Linked DNA regions of Oryctolagus cuniculus. The protein of the gene in region 4 interacts with the protein of the main gene of each other region in a biochemical or structural test. Links are inferred from orthologs where the notes say so. Each region holds a gene or a part of one and is shown on either strand. Other genes may lie near its edges.

Region 1 (3,361 bases), on a different chromosome or scaffold from region 4:
ATCTGCTGGTTCACTCCCCAAACGGCCACGACAGCCAGGCTGAAGCCAGGAGCTTCTACGGCACAGCACCAGCCTCCAAATAATTAAATTAAAAAAGAAAGGAAACAGGCTCAGAGAGGGGAGGGGGCTTCCTGCTACCCCAGCCTCTCAGCAGTGAGTGACCGGGAGTCTGGCTGCTGTGGGTGGGGAGCCCCAGCCCCCGTGTGTGTCTGGGAGAGGAAGCAGGGAGCGGCAGGGCCACAGGCTGACCCTGCCTGAGTTTTAGGGAAGACCAGGGCTGTCACCCAATTTCTTGGACCTTTAGGTTCCTCTCACAGAACGTCTACCAGGGGAGAAGGCAGGCTGGACAGGGGGTGCCCGTGAAGTGCAGACAGAGCAACTGTGGAGTATAAAGGATGGCCAGCGGAGTCGGGGGAGGGGGGTGTCGGAGGAGGCAGGTGGGGGTGGGGTGTGTGTGTGTCATGGAGGAGGCAGGTGGGGGTGGGACTGTGTCAGATGGAGGAGGCGGGTGGGGGTGGGGGGTGTGTGTCATGGAGGAGGCAGGTGGGGGTGGGAGTGTGTCAGATGGAGGAGGCAGGGGAGGGTGGGGTGTGTGTCAGATGGATGAGGCGAGTGGGGGTGTGTGAGAGGGGGCAGGAGGGGGTGGGGTGTCCAGGCTCACAGCCAGCTAGAGTGAACTGTACCACGTGGAGGCCCCTTGCCCTGCGCCCCGAGGACCATCAATTGCAGAAAGGGAAACTGAGGCCCAGCAAGGAGATTTTGCCCCTAGTCACAGCAGGAAGCCAGGGAGCCAAGCCCCGCCTGCTCTCAAGTTTGCTGCACTTGAGGTTCCCTGGCCAGGGTTTAAGGGAAGCCAGGTCCTAGCAGGGAGCCGGAACAACAAACTTCCTCCAGACCCCTCTCTCTCAGCGCTAGAGCTTGGAGGTCTCTGGTCCGGGTAGGGGGGAAAGGCCAGACCCCACCAACTCCGCCTCCTCATCCCCTTCCAGGTGGATGACGACAGCGAACCAGGATGACCCAGCAGGCGCATGACGTCACTGCATTCCCTGCTAACCCAATCACCAAGCATTTTCGCTGCCAGATTTTCCAGATGGGGAAAGTGAGGCAGGAGCCTCACTGCCACAAGCCAGCCCGCCTGGTGGTAGAAGCATGCGCCCCGCCCCAGGGACCCCCCGTGGTCACTCTGGGACCACCCAACCTCCTGTGACCCCTGGGTCTTCCACAAAAGACACGGGCTGGCCGCCGGCCACTGCGCTTGAGCGCGCAGGCTGTAGGGCCCGGCCGTGGGCGCGGCTCCAGCCACGCATTTCGCTTCCCTAAACCGGAGAAGGTTCCAGATGTGGGCAGAACCTTCCACGGCCCGCCCCTGTAATCACGGGGGAGGAATTCAGGGGGCGGGGCAGCCCCCAGCTGGTCATTGCCATTAATAGAGACCCGAAGCACCGCCTGCTAAAAATACCCGGCTGGAGACCCATAAAAGCGCGTCTGGGGCCGCAGCCCCGCACTTCTCCGCGCCCCTGCCCCGCGCACCGCAACCATGACCGAGCGCCGCGTGCCTTTCTCGCTCCTGCGCAGCCCCAGCTGGGACCCGTTCCGCGACTGGTACCCGGTGCACAGCCGCCTCTTCGACCAGGCCTTCGGGCTGCCGCGGCTGCCCGAGGAGTGGGCGCAGTGGTTCGGCGGCAGCAGCTGGCCAGGCTACGTGCGGCCCCTGCCCGCCGCGGAGGCCCCCGCCGTGGCCGCGCCCGCCTACAGCCGTGCGCTCAGCCGGCAGCTCAGCAGCGGCGTCTCGGAGATCCGGCACACGGCCGACCGCTGGCGCGTGTCCCTGGACGTGAACCACTTCGCCCCGGAGGAGCTGACGGTCAAGACCAAGGACGGCGTGGTGGAGATCACGGGTGAGCCCCGGGCCGGGGCGCAGGGGCCGGGGGTGGGGTGGGGTGGGGTGGAGTTAAAAGTCCGCCGGAGCGCCGCCCCGGCCCGCGGCGCGGCAGGGGCGCAGGGGACGGCGGGGAGCGGTGCGGGCTGCCCCTGAGGGTCCCTCTATTGGGGGCAGAGGCGCTGCTTCCAGCCAAGACCCCCGCCCCAAATCAGCAGCGCCCCAGGACCGCGCAGGGAGACTGGGGGGGGGGGCGTGTGCCCCGCCCCACGCGCGCCTGCGCGGCTGGCCACTCCCCAAACTCGGAACTTTCCAGAAGTTTGAGGGTCCCGACAGTCAGGCGCACGCCACACCCCCTGCCAGTCTCCAGCAGTTGCTGGCTCAGGCTGTGCCTGTCTGGGGCCCCAGCTACCCCTGAGCAAGTGGAGGGGCCCCCTTCCCGTGACCTCTGACCTCCCTCTGCACCCCCCCAACCCAGGCAAACACGAAGAGCGACAGGACGAACACGGCTACATCTCCCGCTGTTTCACCCGGAAGTACACGTGAGTCCTGGCCCTGGCCAGCTAGGGGGTGGGAACCCGGGGAGGAGTGACCCCTGCCGCCCAGCGCTGTGTTAACTCTTTCTTGCCCTCTTCCTTCCCTGCCGCGTCCAGGCTGCCCCCCGGCGTGGACCCCACGCTGGTCTCCTCCTCGCTGTCCCCTGAGGGTACGCTCACCGTGGAAGCGCCGCTGCCCAAGCCGGCCACGCAGTCGGCGGAGATCACCATCCCGGTCACCTTCGAGGCCCGCGCCCAGATCGGCGGCCCGGAAGCCGGGAAGTCCGAGCAGCCTGCGGCCAAGTAGAGCGCCCTCGCGCGCCGCCCAGCCCCCAGCACCCACCTGCGTGCCCTTTTGATACTGTTAAGCTTCTGGTCTTCGCAAATAAAGTTCAAAGCAGCTGCTTGCTCCTGCCTGGGACCCTGGTGTTTGGAGGGGGGAGGGGCGGGTCACATGGCGTCATTTTGGCACAGAGGGGTAGACGACCCTAGGGGTCTCCTGTCCATGGAGAAGGGGAATGATTGCAACCAGACAGGGCCAGGTGTGGGAGTCTGCAAACCCAGGAGACGCACCTGTCCCAGGTGAGGAGGAACTGAGCAGGAGTAGGGGAGGGCGCTTGCCCGGAGCTCCCAGACCCTCGGTGAAGCAGGCAATTCCAGGTGACTGAGCCCACCTGGGCAGCCCCTTGGTGCGGCATGGGCTCTGCCCCTGCCCCTGGGCACCGTGCGCAGGGGGAAGGGGGTGTGGCCCAGGTGTTGGTCCGGAAGGCTGTGATCTTGATATGCAGAGCTGCCTTGACTTGCCCGGGCGGGGACAGCCACACCCCCTCAGCCCTCTCCCTCTTCTGCCTGGCCCTCCCTGCCAGCCTCTTCCCTAGACTTAAGGAGAGGGTCCCGACGGATCTGAAAGAGGCAGGAAGCCAATGGGGGCTTTGAAGTCCAGTCT
Region 2 (4,255 bases), on a different chromosome or scaffold from region 4:
CGGCACAGCTCCGTCTTGTACTTGGGGTGGCGGGTCAGGCTGCGCAGCTCGTGGATGCCGTGCGCGAACTGGCACTTGTCCCCGTACTTACAGGCGCCGTTCTCCTCGAAGGGGCGGCACAGCTCCGTCTTGTAGCGGCTCGAGTTGACCTGGCCGCTCCCGGGCTGCTTCTGCGGCGGCAGCAGCCGCTCGCCCCCTTCGGAGAAGGAGCGGTCGCGGAAGCGGCTGTCCCGGGAGCTCAGGGCCGCGGCCGGCTCGCCCTTGAGGGTGCTGAGGAGTTGGTTCTGGTGGAACTTGGAGCTGGGTAGGGTGACCGAGTGCCTCCGGGGGAAGCCCCCGCCAGCAGGGGTGCCCACTGCCTTTCTGTCCAGCAGGCAGCCCGCGGTGCTGGGAGCACTGTAGTTGATCATCTTGTTACCCTGCAGGGAGGAGAGGGCAGAGAAAGGGGCGGTCAGCCATGGGGGGCATCCAGCCGGGGGCAGGCCCCTCTCACAGGAGCCGTCTCCCCGCCCCCAACCGCCCCCAGGTGGATTTTGGTCCCATGAATAAGAAACCACAAAATGCTGGCTGACAAACTGCTTCTCCTTCTGTCCTGCTCCACGCTGACCCAGGCCGTGCACCCTCATAACCACTTGTACCTGTAAAACCAACTCCCTGACCTCCCCCCTGGGCCCCTCCACCCAAAGTACCCAGCTCAGCCCAGACCTGGCAAGACTCCCCTCCCCCTACCAAAAATGAAAAGCCTCAGAGAGCAAAGTTAACAGTCAAGTCCCCCTCTTGATCCGTCTCTGCTCCCACGCACGACCTGGCCCACGACTCTGGACTTCCTCGTCCAGAAGAGTGCTCCCTTCCCTGGGCAACAGGTGCTCACGGCTGCCTGAGCTCCCTGCTTGAAGGGGGCAGGACGGAAGACCTAGGGGCCCCGGTCTGCGCTGGGGAAGGGGAGGGAGGGGGCTCCAGGCTCCTCCAAGGGGCTATTCCACAATGCTCTCCCCAACCCCCTGGGCTGCAAAGATGCCTTTGCAGTGAGTGCCCTGGCTGCAAGAGCAGGCTTGAAGAAGAGTACCAGTGTTTAATCTTTAACGCGAAGCTGCAGATGGGAAGCCAGGGCAAGCACCCACCCCCCACCTCCCAATCAATAGCAGATGGGGGGGGGTGTTGCAGAGCAACTACAGGCAAGTTTCTGTTCCAATGAGACCCTGGTCACCTGCCCAAAGGGTGGACGAGCTTTGGAAAGGGTGTGATGGGGGGGAACCTGGGAGTTGGCTCCCAGGTCGTGTGGGTGCCACCGTGCCAATTCTAAAGTCGGCCCCTCGGGATCAGCCGTGGGGGATCGGGAATCTGTAACTGCAACCACCCCACCGAGCGGATTACAGGAACCCAGTGGAGAGCCGGTTCCCAACAATGAGGTTCATTTAAAAAGTCCTGCCGGGGGGAGGGGGCGAAGAAAGCGCACTAGATCAAAGAGCGGGAGCGCGCGGGGAAGGGGGGAGACTGCGGGAGCGAGTGGAGGTCGCGAGGGAGGAAAGCTGAGCATTCCAACTTCTTAAAAGTTGTTCTGCAGCTCCCGGCGTCCGGCACCCCAAGCCTGCAGCCCCGGGGCCCTGGCAGCTGCGCCGACAGCAGCAGCGAGCAGGGAAGACGGCAACATGACCCGACGTGTTGAAGACCGGGGAGAAACACTTCAGCAATTAAAAGCAGCCTAGCAGCTTCACCCTTTCAAACTGGGGGAGGGGGCGGTTGCAAAGAAGTTTAACAACCACCACAGGCTTTGGTTCTGTACATTGAAACCGCACTCCTGGAACGGCTCCGAGTTTGAAACCGGCTTTATCCAACACGGGCTGGCAAAGCTACAAAGCCCAAGAAGCAGGCCCCTCACAGGGACCCTTAAGCTCAGCCTGGCAGTTTGTTACGACCCCCTGTCCCCCACCACCACCACCAACACCACGGCCCATGAGCCGCGCGGGTCTTCGGGAGCAGCCCGGGGCCCACTCGCCCCCTAGACCCACAGCGCCGTCGGGCCCGGCGGCCCTAACCCCGCCGCCGACTCATTGGCAACATCTTTTCAATCACCACTGGAGGCCTTTCTCCTCCGAATGGATTCCCCAGCTCCTCCGAAGCAGAAAGCGTGGGGTTACCTCCCGGCCACGCGTCGCGCCAGACTCGTTTTCCCGCGGGACCCCCGCAGCCCCACGCCCAGCCCACAAGCCGGCCGCGCTTGCATGGACGCGTGCCCCTCCGCGCCGCGGCACCGGGGCGCACCCCGGCCCCAGCCACACGTCGCGGGCCGAGGACTCGCCCCAGACCTGCCCCGATGCCACGCAGCCTTCGCCCCCCAGGATCCTGGCTCCTAGACCCCGGGGTCATCCCCGCCAGGGGCCGTGGAGACTCCAAGGGTGCGGAGGACAAATTCCTTCAAACTCGGCCGGAACCTCAGGCGGAGACGCAAAGCAGCTCTTGCTTCGCCTCCCTCCTCTTCCTCCTGCTTTCCAAAGACCCAAACTTCCCCCCCGCCTCCCCGGGGACGGACGAGTGCGGCCGTTCTTAAGGCAAAACCGAAAAAGACTTTTCGAAAAAGCAGTCGCTCCGCCCCACTTTACCTTGCATAAAACTTCGCTCAAGTCGAAGATGGTAGCAGACACGAGGGTGGTGGTCATCCTGAGCGCTCGCACGGGGGGCAGAGGCGAGGGTCTGGTGCGTGGCGAAGGTCCCGGTGCGGGGAAGGCGCAGCCGCCGGCTCTGGGGTCTGGACTCCCGCGCGCCTGCTCCCAGCGCCCCTCGCCTGTCTCACTCTCCCGGGCTGCGGCGCGCAAAGCCCAATTTATAAAGTTTCAGATTTGGTGGGCCGGGGCGGGGGGGGGGAGGAGGAGCTCTAAAGTTATTTAAATGAGGAAGAGGAGGGGGAAAAAAGTTGATTGACACCGAGGTTGAATCAGCCATGCGGTCAAGCTGGGGGTGGAGTGGGGGGGGAGGAGAGAAAAGCAAGAAGGGGGAGGGGAGACGAGGAAAGAGGCGGAAAAAAAAAACCACTGCGAGCCGCGCACAACTTTTTTTTTTTTTCTTAAAGAGGAAAACTTTCGAGTCGGCGGGCTCGGCCGGCCCGCGCCCCGGGTGCGCGCGGCGCAGGGGGAGGGACACAGCCGCCGAGCCCAGGTCTGTGACGTCACCCCCCCCAGCTCGGTGCCTGTTGTCGTGTTGTTGTTTTCTGTCCGGCACGAAGGCGGGCTCGACTTTCTCCTTTTTTTTTTTTTTTTTTTTTTTTTTTGCTCGTCCCGTGCGCCCGGGCTGCGTTGTCCGACGGGTGCGGGTGTCCCCTGAAAACTTCGCCAGGCGCCCGCACCACTCCCGGCGTCTCCCAGCGAACCGGGCGGGCCGGCACGCACGCAGCGTTAGAGCCGAGGGTTGGAGGCTTGGAGGGGGTTTGTGTTTGTTTGTTTGTTTTATTTTTTATTTTATTTTATTTTATTTTTGCGGAGTGGGGGGCGGGGGTACTCGGGAAACTTTTTCGCCCAGCGGGGGCGAGCACAGCACGATTCTGGGCCAAGCACGCGTCTACACTCGCGCTCGCTTTGCAGCCCGCGCTTGTCTGGGTGTGGGCGGGGGGGGGGGGGCGTTGCCAAAAAAGACCACCGCTCGGGCTGATTGCTACTTTTAACAGGTCTAGGCGTGGCGCTTCTTTCACGCATCCAATCTAAACTTTTAAAAGCACAGGAAAACCCTAAATGCTTCCTCCCCGCAAAAAAAAAAAAAAGGAAAAAAAGAAACCACAGCAACGAACCACTTTCCACGCGCGCTCTCAAACACAGGCCTCGACTTCCCCCGTCCCCCACACACACCTCCCTCGCCCCGACACTAGAACAATGAAAAAAAAAGTGACTTTGGCTAAGCACGCAGGCGAATAGGGGGAGGCGACACTTTTAACTCATTGTCGTTTCCCTCCCGCCCCCACGGGGACGGAACATATGGCTGGGCTGGCCGCGCTGATTTGGCGGGCGGTGGGGAGGGGGCGACACGGGACCCACGAACCAAAAGGCCCGCGGTGATCATGAACTCCCTTTTTAAAAAATGATAAAATACCCACTTATTTACTGCTAGGTCCGGATGCCCCCCCCCCGCCCCTGCCCCGGCCTCCGCCCGGGCGCCGGGGCGCACAGCGAGGCGGAAATCGCGGGGCCGCGTGTCTTTCCTATTTCCACGCGGGCCGGGCCGCCTCCTCGGGCCTCGCGCGTTTCTTCCCAGCACTCGAGGCTGCCGG
Region 3 (3,998 bases), on a different chromosome or scaffold from region 4:
GCGAAGCAGCCCGGGCAACCGAGGCTTCTCCCCGGGCACCCCTGGCGGTCGCAGCCCGGCCGGCCCGCACCTGGGGACAACCCACTTCTTGCGTTTCAAAACAGCGCTCGGGCGAGGCGGTCTTCCCCAGGAGCGAGGGCCCGCCCACCTGTCCCATCTTGGGCGCCGTCCGGCAGAGGCCCCGCGGCCGGGCGGCTGCTGCTCCCGGGCTGGGGGCCTGCGAGGGTGACCTGACGTGGGTGTCCGGCAGTGTGAGCGCGTGGAAAGCGGAGACAGCCCTGAGTGCCCCCGCGGGTGTCTGCGACCCCACCCCCTCTCGATGACGGCGGCTCCCAGGCCTGGGTCTCCGGTTTGGGAGCGAGGCGGAGCTGCCCCAGCAGGTGTCAGAGAAGGGAATGCCCTATCAGGCAGAATGGTTTCCCTCCCTGCACTTGGCCAGAGTGGACTTTGGGCCTGGGGGGGGGGGTGTTGTTTCTTTGTTAATTCTTCCTCTTGGGGGTTCTTTGCGACCCCCCCCCTCGCTCGCACCGCTCCCGCCTCAGAACTTCTCTGGGGGGGTCGTCTCCTCCCTCGGTGTAGAATCTCTGCCTGTGTCTCTCCACCTCTGGTGTCTCTCCCTGCGCCTCCCTCCATCTCACCCTCTCTCAGCACGGCTCTGCGTGTCTCTCCCTTTCTCTCAGCGTTATGCCTTCCTGTCTCTGTGTCCCTGCGACTCCCTGTGTACGTCTGTTTCCCATGTTCCCCCCCCCACCCCCACACACACCCCGGGTCTCTTCCTCCCTGTCTCTCCCTTTCCAGCTACCTGCCGGCCTCTGGCTCGCTGTGTGAGCCCGTCCCTCCCTCTGCTTCTCGTCGGTTTTTTCTCTCCTCTGCCCACCCCCCGCGCCGTCAGCCGCGCAGGCCCTCTCGGCCTCTGCCCTTGTCAGTTGCTCCGGCAGCCCTGCCCCCACCCGTGTCCCAGTTCCATTCTCCGGCCTCCGTCTCTAGCCTTGAAACCTGGGCAGGCAGACGCCCTTCCCGCCCCGCGCCCCACCCCACGCACTCCCCTCCGGGCCGCCCCGCCGCGCGCAGGCCCCGTCCTGGCCGGCAGCCGGGCGGAAGGGGACTAGCCCAGGGCCCGTCGGGCTGCGCCGGGGGCGCGCGTCCGGGAAGCGCCCCTCCTGGCCCCGCCCCGCCCTGGGCCCGCCCCTCTCGACCACGCCCCCACTGCCCTATAAGAAGGTGTCTGTCGCGGGTAGCCGCAGCCTGGTTTCAGCGCTCCGACTTTGGGCCGATCCCTCAGGGCCAAACGCGCCGCCATGGATCTCACAGCCATCTACGAGGTGAGTCCCCTCCGGACTCCCCAGCGCCGGGACGCTAGCCTCCCTGCCAAGCTGGGGGGGGGGGCTCTTCTGCGCTACACCCTCCGACCCCGGCCCCCGGCTGCCTTTTCCGGACCGACCTGATTATCGGGGGGCGGGGGTGGGGGGTGGGAAGTAAAAATGGAGCCCCCGCCTGCCGGCTCTCGGCCCGGCCGGCACTTGGGTGGGGGCCCCGTGGAGTGGCCGCTGGGAAACTTTGCTCAGACCAGGGCTGGTCGGAGGCGGAAACGGCGCCGCACCTGGCTCACCCCTCGTAGTCGCCGAGGGCGCGGTGCCGCGCGGAGGCGTTTTTGGGGCTGAGTCTCGGGGCGGGGAAGCCGACTTCTGCCTCTGACGCCTCGACCCGCCTTCTCCGGGAACTCAAACCCCAAAGACCAGACTCCCGAGTTGGCTCTGCCAGGCTCCTCCCGTTGTGAAACTGGAGAACTAACCCGCTGCGCTCCTCATATCCGGGAAGGCCCAGCGGCTCCAAGTTGGGGACCTGACTTTAGGGTCCCCTGTTGATCCTCCCGGGAAGCTGGGATTCCTCCTCCAGCCGTGGCTCAACGCAGAGCCCCTGAACCGGGATCGCCGCTGGGTTCCGGAAATCCCGGTTGCCGTGGGCGGGTGGGGCTCCGGCCGGGAGCCCACAAACCGGCCTGGCAAGGTCTTGAAGTGCCCTGCAGCTGGGGCGCGCCTCGCCCTGCGTCTGCGGGTGTCCTAACCCGATCCCTGTTCCCACAGAGCCTCGTGTCGCTGCACCCTGACCCCCCATCCGACCACGGAGGGACGGATCCTTCGGGACTCTGGGGCCCGGCTGGGATCACCTCTCGCCTGCCGGGCCGCTCCACCAGCCTGGTAGAGGGCCGCAGCTGCGGCTGGGTGCCGCCACCCCCTGGCTTCGCACCCCTGGCTCCCCGCCCGGGCCCGGAGCTGGCGCCCTCGCCCACCTCGCCCACGGCGACCCCCACCACCTCCTCCCGCTACAAGACTGAGCTGTGTCGGACCTTCTCGGAGAGTGGACGCTGCCGCTACGGCGCCAAATGCCAGTTTGCCCATGGCCTGGGCGAGCTGCGCCAAGCCAATCGCCACCCCAAGTACAAGACTGAACTCTGCCACAAGTTCTACCTCCAGGGCCGCTGTCCCTACGGCTCCCGCTGCCACTTCATCCACAACCCCAGCGAGGACCTGGCCGCCCCCGGCCACCCCCACGTGCTGCGCCAGAGCGTGAGCTTCTCCGGCCTGCCCTCCGGCCGCAGGACATCGCCTCCGCCGCCGGGCCTCGCAGGCCCCTCCCTGTCCTCCTGCTCCTTCTCGCCACCCAGCTCCCCGCCCCCACCGGGGGACGCTCCGCTTTCACCCTCGGCCTTCTCTGCCGCCCCTGGGACCCCCGTGGCTCGAAGGGACCCCACGCCCGCCTGCTGCCCCTCCTGCCGCCGGGCCAACCCTGTCAGCATCTGGGGGCCCTTGGGTGGCCTGGCCCGGAGCCCCTCGGCGCACTCCCTGGGCTCAGACCCGGATGAGTACGCCAGCAGCGGCAGCAGCCTGGGGGGGTCCGACTCTCCTGTCTTCGAGACGGGAGCTTTCGGGCCACCCCAGCCGCCTGCAGCCCCCAGGCGCCTCCCCATCTTCAACCGCATCTCCGTGTCTGAGTGACGGAGATCCGTTGGATAGAGGGGCGCCGCGGTGTGCCGTGGGTTCCGCTGGGCCCAGGGCCTGTGGGGAAGGGATCCTAATTCATTCAAGTGGGTCCCTCCCTCCCCCGCATTCCAAAATGCATTAACTTCACCCCTGACCCCACGCTGGGGCAGGTCCCCGGTGTGCAAGCTCAGTGTTCACGGTGTTGGGGGACAGAGTGCTCTCTGGGGTTCTTTGAAGATGTAGCATACTGGAGGGAGACAGTGAGCCCCGTCCCCCCCGACCTGCACCCCGTCTGAATCTCCTGGAATCTCATGTGCTGTGAATAGTAGCCCCCTGCGCGCCCCCTCCCACTTCTTCCTGAGGTCCCAGCGTCTGGTGGTGAGTGGAGCCTCCCCGAGGGAGACTCCTGGTGCTCAAATTTCCCTCCACAAGCAAGCAAAGCCGTTGCCAAACCCCTCCCCCAACCGACGGGCCCTTTATTTATGACGACTTTATTTATTCTAATAAGGTTTTATAGTATTTATATATATTGAGTCGTCTGCTTCCTTTGTATTTTTTCCTCCTCTTTTTTGTAATATTGGAAACTGGTATAATTATTAAGTATGCTATAATAATATATTAAGTAATATATATTGTTACCTTAAAAGTCTATTTTTGTGTTTTAGAATTTTTAAATAAAAGGAACCGGCGTGTAAACTGGAACCCTGGCCTTTGTGCTGTCCGGGGCGGGGAGGGGGCGAGAGCCCAGCCGCCCTGCGGCGCTTACCTGGCAGGAAGTGACGTCACCAGGCCCGCCGTTCACCTGAGAGGGCGGGGCCAGGTGAGGTCACGGGGGGGAGCCGGGCGAGCCGGTTCCCGAGGCGTCTGGGGACGCTGCACTCGCGTCCTGCCGGGCTGCTAGGCCCGAGCGGGCGGGGACGGGACATTTCCGTCCCCACGGGGCCGGGGCGGCGAGAGGACGGAATGTGCCGGCGCCAGGCGCGGGGCGGGCGGGGACGGCCCGTGGAGTCTGGGGTC
Region 4 (4,099 bases):
ACTTCAGGAACCATGTATCTCGCTGGCCCACAGAGTGAGCTCTGCTCGCCTTGGAAGGGACAGGGCTGGGAGCGGGACCCCTGCCCTTCACTCTCCTGGGAAAGATGAACCAGGCAGGGGTCACTATCACTTTTGCCCTGTCCTCCTGGACTCAGTTCCCAAGGGCTCAGGCTGCTCTCTCCAGAGTTTTTTTTTTTTTTTTTTGAGGATGAGTTTTATGGGCCATGTGTGGCCACAAGTCAGGTCTCACTCTGATACAGACTTGGCTGTAACTGACCTGGAGTCTTGTCTTTCCCTGGCTGGGGCCCTCCTCTTATTTCTCCGCTGCTCTACTAGTCCAAGGAGGGAGCAGCTCAAGGGATGTGTTTGGTGATTATCTCCCAACCCTCTGGGAACAAGAAGAGCCCCGGATGCACCCTGGATTTCCTCTTCCAGGGGTGCAGCGGCCCTCCCAGGCAGCCTCTCTCCCGGCCAAGGGTCTGGGCCTCCCTCCACCCCTCCCCTGGCCCTGGTTATGCTGTGGGTCCCGCAGGACCCTGGGAATCGCCCTGGACTAAACCAGCTTTCTCAGAAACACCCACTTCTCAAGGCTCTAGGTTCAGGATTAGTTTTTCCATGTTGGAAATGAAAACCTTATCACTCTGAGTCTCTGCACACCCTCGGGAAGGGGCCGCTGGTCTCCCCGTCCGGACCGCGCGGCCGGCAGGTGGGAAGAAAGGGGCTCCTAGGGAGCCATCAGCCTCGCACCCTGCGTCTTCTCCCGTTTGAAGGTATAGCTCCTAACTCGTCCACGGCTCACAGTAGTGAATCTTCCCTGAAAAACCACACATGTACTAGAAAAGGGCAAAGCCTCGGAGAAGAACGCTCACCAGGTGCTCGCACCTGTCCCAGGGCGGGTGGCCCCCGAGGTCTCACCTGGCCAAGGCACCCCTTCTCTTCCAACTTGCCGCTGCCGCCCAAAATGGGCCAGACAATTGGAGGAAAGTGGATTTTCTCTCGGCATTACGCAGCAGCTCTCCCACGCCTCCCCGCGCCCCGCGCGCGGCGCCGGCCGAGGGACACGCTTTCCCCGGTCCTTCTCCCGCCCCGCGGGGTCCCAGCCCCCGGCCCCGGGCCCCGGGCCCCGGGCCTCCCCAGCACGCGGCCGGCGCCGCGCGTCCTCCCCTTTAAGGCCCGCCCCTCCCCCACACCCACACCGCCCCGGGCCCCGCCCCTCCGACCCTCCCCTTTAAGGACCGGCCCCGGACGCAGACGAGGCTGTGACGCGGCCGCCGGCCCCGGGGCTGGGACTTTGTCGCGCGGCCGCTGCCCCCCGGCCGGGCCCCGCTGTCCCGCGGCCCCCGGAGCGCCAGGCCCCCGGGGGGGGGAGGGAGGGAGGGAGGGAGGGTGTAGGGCCGGTGGGCACCAGCGGCGGGACCCACGGAGCCCCGCGGCCCGCAGAGCCTGGAGCCGGGCGGGGGCGCGGACGCCGGCTCCAGCCAGGAGCAAACTTCGCAGCCGGGCGGGGGGCAGCGGGGACCCCGTCCCGGGCCGGAGGAGGGGGCGGCCGCCGGCGCCATGCTGCCCGGCCCGCAGGGCCCGAGCGCGCCCGCGCCGCCCCCCGGGCCGCCGCCGCCGCCGCCGCCGCAGCAGCAGCCGCCCCCGGCCCCGGCGCAGCCCCCGGCCCCGGCGCCGCCGCCGCCGCCCCCGCAGCAGTTCCCGCAGTTCCACGTCAGGTCGGGCCTGCAGATCAAGAAAAACGCCATCATCGACGACTACAAGGTCACCAGCCAGGTCCTGGGGCTGGGCATCAACGGCAAAGTTCTGCAGATCTTCAGCAAGAAGACGCAGGAGAAATTCGCCCTCAAGGTAGGTGTGGGCCGGGGGGCGCGCGAGGGGAGCCCGCGGCCCCCGCCGAGTTTCCGGCCACCGCGGCGGCGCGGGGCACCCGCAGGGCTCCGGCGCCGGGGCCACTGGTGCCGAGCCCGCGCCGTGTCGGGGATACGGGGCCCCACGCCCGCCTCCCTCCTCCCTTTCTTCCCGCGGGCACAAAAGGCCCATTACTCACCGGGCGGGTGGTCGGTGGGTTTGGAGAAGTCGGATCTCGGAGGTTTCCTTCGGCTCGCTCCTTATTTGGGAGCCGGAATGTGTGATTTCACTTCCCGGGGCCTCGCGAGGGCGGCCGCGCGGGCCGGGGACCGGCGGGGCGGACGGGTCCCGCGCGCGGGCCACTCTAACTCCGGCCCGGGAACCCGGGGCCCGGGCGCCGCTCGCGTCCCGGGCGCCGCGCTCGCTGGGCGGTGGAGGGAGCGCCGGGGAAACCCAGCCTCTGTTTGTTTTGTTTTCGTTTGAAGGGGTGTCGGGGGCGGGGGTGCGGGTTTCTAAGCGGAGACCTGCCGGAGAAGTTGCCCGGAGCGCACCTGGCGGCCCGCGGAGGGGTGGGGGGCGCTCCGTCGGTCGGGGTCACCCGAAGGGTTTCGGCTCAGACCCTGTCTCCGGAGGGAGCCGGGCACATCTGTCTCCCTGGGGGGTGTCTTAATGATTGGAGGAGGAGAAAAATACTTCCTGTGTTGTATTTTTCTCTTCCCTTTCACGTTTCAGTTATCAAAGACAAAACTCAGATAGGAGTTGTGGGTGGAGCGTCGGATATACAACCAGCCTCATAGAAACCGGGCGCAGAGGGGCAGGCGTGCTCGATTTCGAGGGTTTTGGGGTCTCTGCAATGATTCTCTCGCCCCTTTTCTCCTCCACGCTGCCGGGTTTCTTGGCTTTTGGCCATAAGCTCCGGTTGTGGGATCTCTGCTGGTGGTGGCAATGGTGGGAGAGTGTTTGTCAGAATTTAGGGCACCCTGCAAGGTGTGCCTTACACTTCTTTCCATACCAACAGCCGGGAGAGGAGGGGGGAGGAACTGTTCCGCCTGACCATGGCTCTGACCTTGGGCATTGCCGTTGACGGGTCAGTTTGACCACGGTTAACCTGCATCCTGGAGGAGGTGACAGGCACGCTTTCCAGGAGGGTTTTGTGTCCTCTCTGAGTTGCCATCTGCCTTCCTTGTCCCCTGAATGGTTGGAATATGGCATAAAAAGGCTTGAGGACAAAAGCTCCCGACTTCTGCTGCGTAGACTTGGACACGCAAAACCACCTTCTGAAGTGCTTCTGGGTGGCAGTTCAGATTTTTATTGCAATTAATAGGCAAGCTGCTTGCATATTTTCCTCTTCTGAATAGTTCTGAAAGGAAGAAATGAGCAGCGTATTAAACAGCACTTGTAATTTATCCTCCTCAGGTTAGAGTGGGTGAAGATGGAAGGCAGAATGTTTTGACAGGCAGCCTGCTCCCAGACCTTCTAAGTTGACTCAACTGTTCAATGGTAGATTTCCCACACATCTCTGTGTTAAAACTTAATAATAGAGGAAGAGAGTAGGGGCGAGGCATCAGGAGACTGACAGCGGTGTCAACAGCACTTCCATATCCAAATATTGGCTAAGACATAATTGCAGCTGTGGGGGAATCTGGCTCAACGGATCCTGTTCCTCACACCAAAGAGACTTCCAGATCGGGAATTCTGATTAACCTTAGGGACTGAAGAATGGTGTGATTTTTTTTTTTTTTTAACAAGCAGAAGTCTTTTGATTGTAAAGTCAGATTTTTGATTATGAAGCTGTGGGGGCAGCAGGAGTACCCCCAAGAGGAAGGCTTCAAGAAGGAGGCAGACTAGCACTGGGCACAGTGTGGGAAGGCCATCGCTGGGGGCTCGCGCAGAGCCACAGGGGCTGGGAAGTGTGACAGCTCGAAGCTCGGAGCAGGTGGCAGCTGCTGGGATGCCCGGCTCCCTGTCTGTGGTCCGGTGACCTCTCAGACCTGTTAGGTGAGAGCAGGGCTTACCCAATGGTCCAGCGCGCCTGCTTTGTCTCCACCTCCACCTCTGAGAGCTGACATTTACATGGTTTTGGTGGGTGCTGTGACCTCAGCTCGCTGTCTCCCCTGGCTGCTCTTGCAGAGCTCTGAGTCACGCTCACGCTTGCAGGCAGAGCTGGACAGGACTCCAGCCGGCATCTCGTCAGCCCCCTCGTGTTGCAGGTGCGAGGAGTGACTTGTTGCAGGTATTCTAGCCCTGTGCT

The links.
Region 1: of the proteins of MAPKAPK2 (region 4) and HSPB1, one has a biochemical effect on the other in vitro, tested with the Homo sapiens proteins (17 studies listed by BioGRID and IntAct, with this or other methods). The link is inferred for Oryctolagus cuniculus from reciprocal best matches to the Homo sapiens genes MAPKAPK2 and HSPB1.
Region 2: of the proteins of MAPKAPK2 (region 4) and ZFP36L1, one has a biochemical effect on the other in vitro, tested with the Homo sapiens proteins (2 studies listed by BioGRID). The link is inferred for Oryctolagus cuniculus from reciprocal best matches to the Homo sapiens genes MAPKAPK2 and ZFP36L1.
Region 3: of the proteins of MAPKAPK2 (region 4) and ZFP36, one has a biochemical effect on the other in vitro, tested with the Homo sapiens proteins (2 studies listed by BioGRID). The link is inferred for Oryctolagus cuniculus from reciprocal best matches to the Homo sapiens genes MAPKAPK2 and ZFP36.

What each region holds. Positions count from the first base shown.
Region 1 is NC_091450.1:44,266,161-44,269,521, reverse strand, and holds HSPB1 (heat shock protein beta-1), read left to right. Parts: upstream 1-1,375; 5' UTR 1,376-1,537; coding exon 1,538-1,898; intron 1,899-2,357; coding exon 2,358-2,421; intron 2,422-2,532; coding exon 2,533-2,722; 3' UTR 2,723-2,823; downstream 2,824-3,361. UniProt on the Homo sapiens protein: Small heat shock protein which functions as a molecular chaperone probably maintaining denatured proteins in a folding-competent state. Plays a role in stress resistance and actin organization.
Region 2 is NC_091451.1:14,687,957-14,692,211, forward strand, and holds the start of ZFP36L1 (mRNA decay activator protein ZFP36L1), read right to left. Parts: upstream 2,814-4,255; 5' UTR 2,658-2,813; coding exon 2,601-2,657; intron 420-2,600; coding exon 1-419. UniProt on the Homo sapiens protein: Zinc-finger RNA-binding protein that destabilizes several cytoplasmic AU-rich element (ARE)-containing mRNA transcripts by promoting their poly(A) tail removal or deadenylation, and hence provide a mechanism for attenuating protein synthesis.
Region 3 is NC_091449.1:15,543,507-15,547,504, reverse strand, and holds ZFP36 (mRNA decay activator protein ZFP36), read left to right. Parts: upstream 1-1,162; 5' UTR 1,163-1,298; coding exon 1,299-1,322; intron 1,323-2,084; coding exon 2,085-2,996; 3' UTR 2,997-3,683; downstream 3,684-3,998. UniProt on the Homo sapiens protein: Zinc-finger RNA-binding protein that destabilizes several cytoplasmic AU-rich element (ARE)-containing mRNA transcripts by promoting their poly(A) tail removal or deadenylation, and hence provide a mechanism for attenuating protein synthesis.
Region 4 is NC_091444.1:21,850,344-21,854,442, forward strand, and holds the start of MAPKAPK2 (MAP kinase-activated protein kinase 2), read left to right. Parts: upstream 1-1,253; 5' UTR 1,254-1,557; coding exon 1,558-1,848; intron 1,849-2,047; exon of another isoform or gene 2,048-2,186; intron 2,187-4,099. UniProt on the Homo sapiens protein: Stress-activated serine/threonine-protein kinase involved in cytokine production, endocytosis, reorganization of the cytoskeleton, cell migration, cell cycle control, chromatin remodeling, DNA damage response and transcriptional regulation.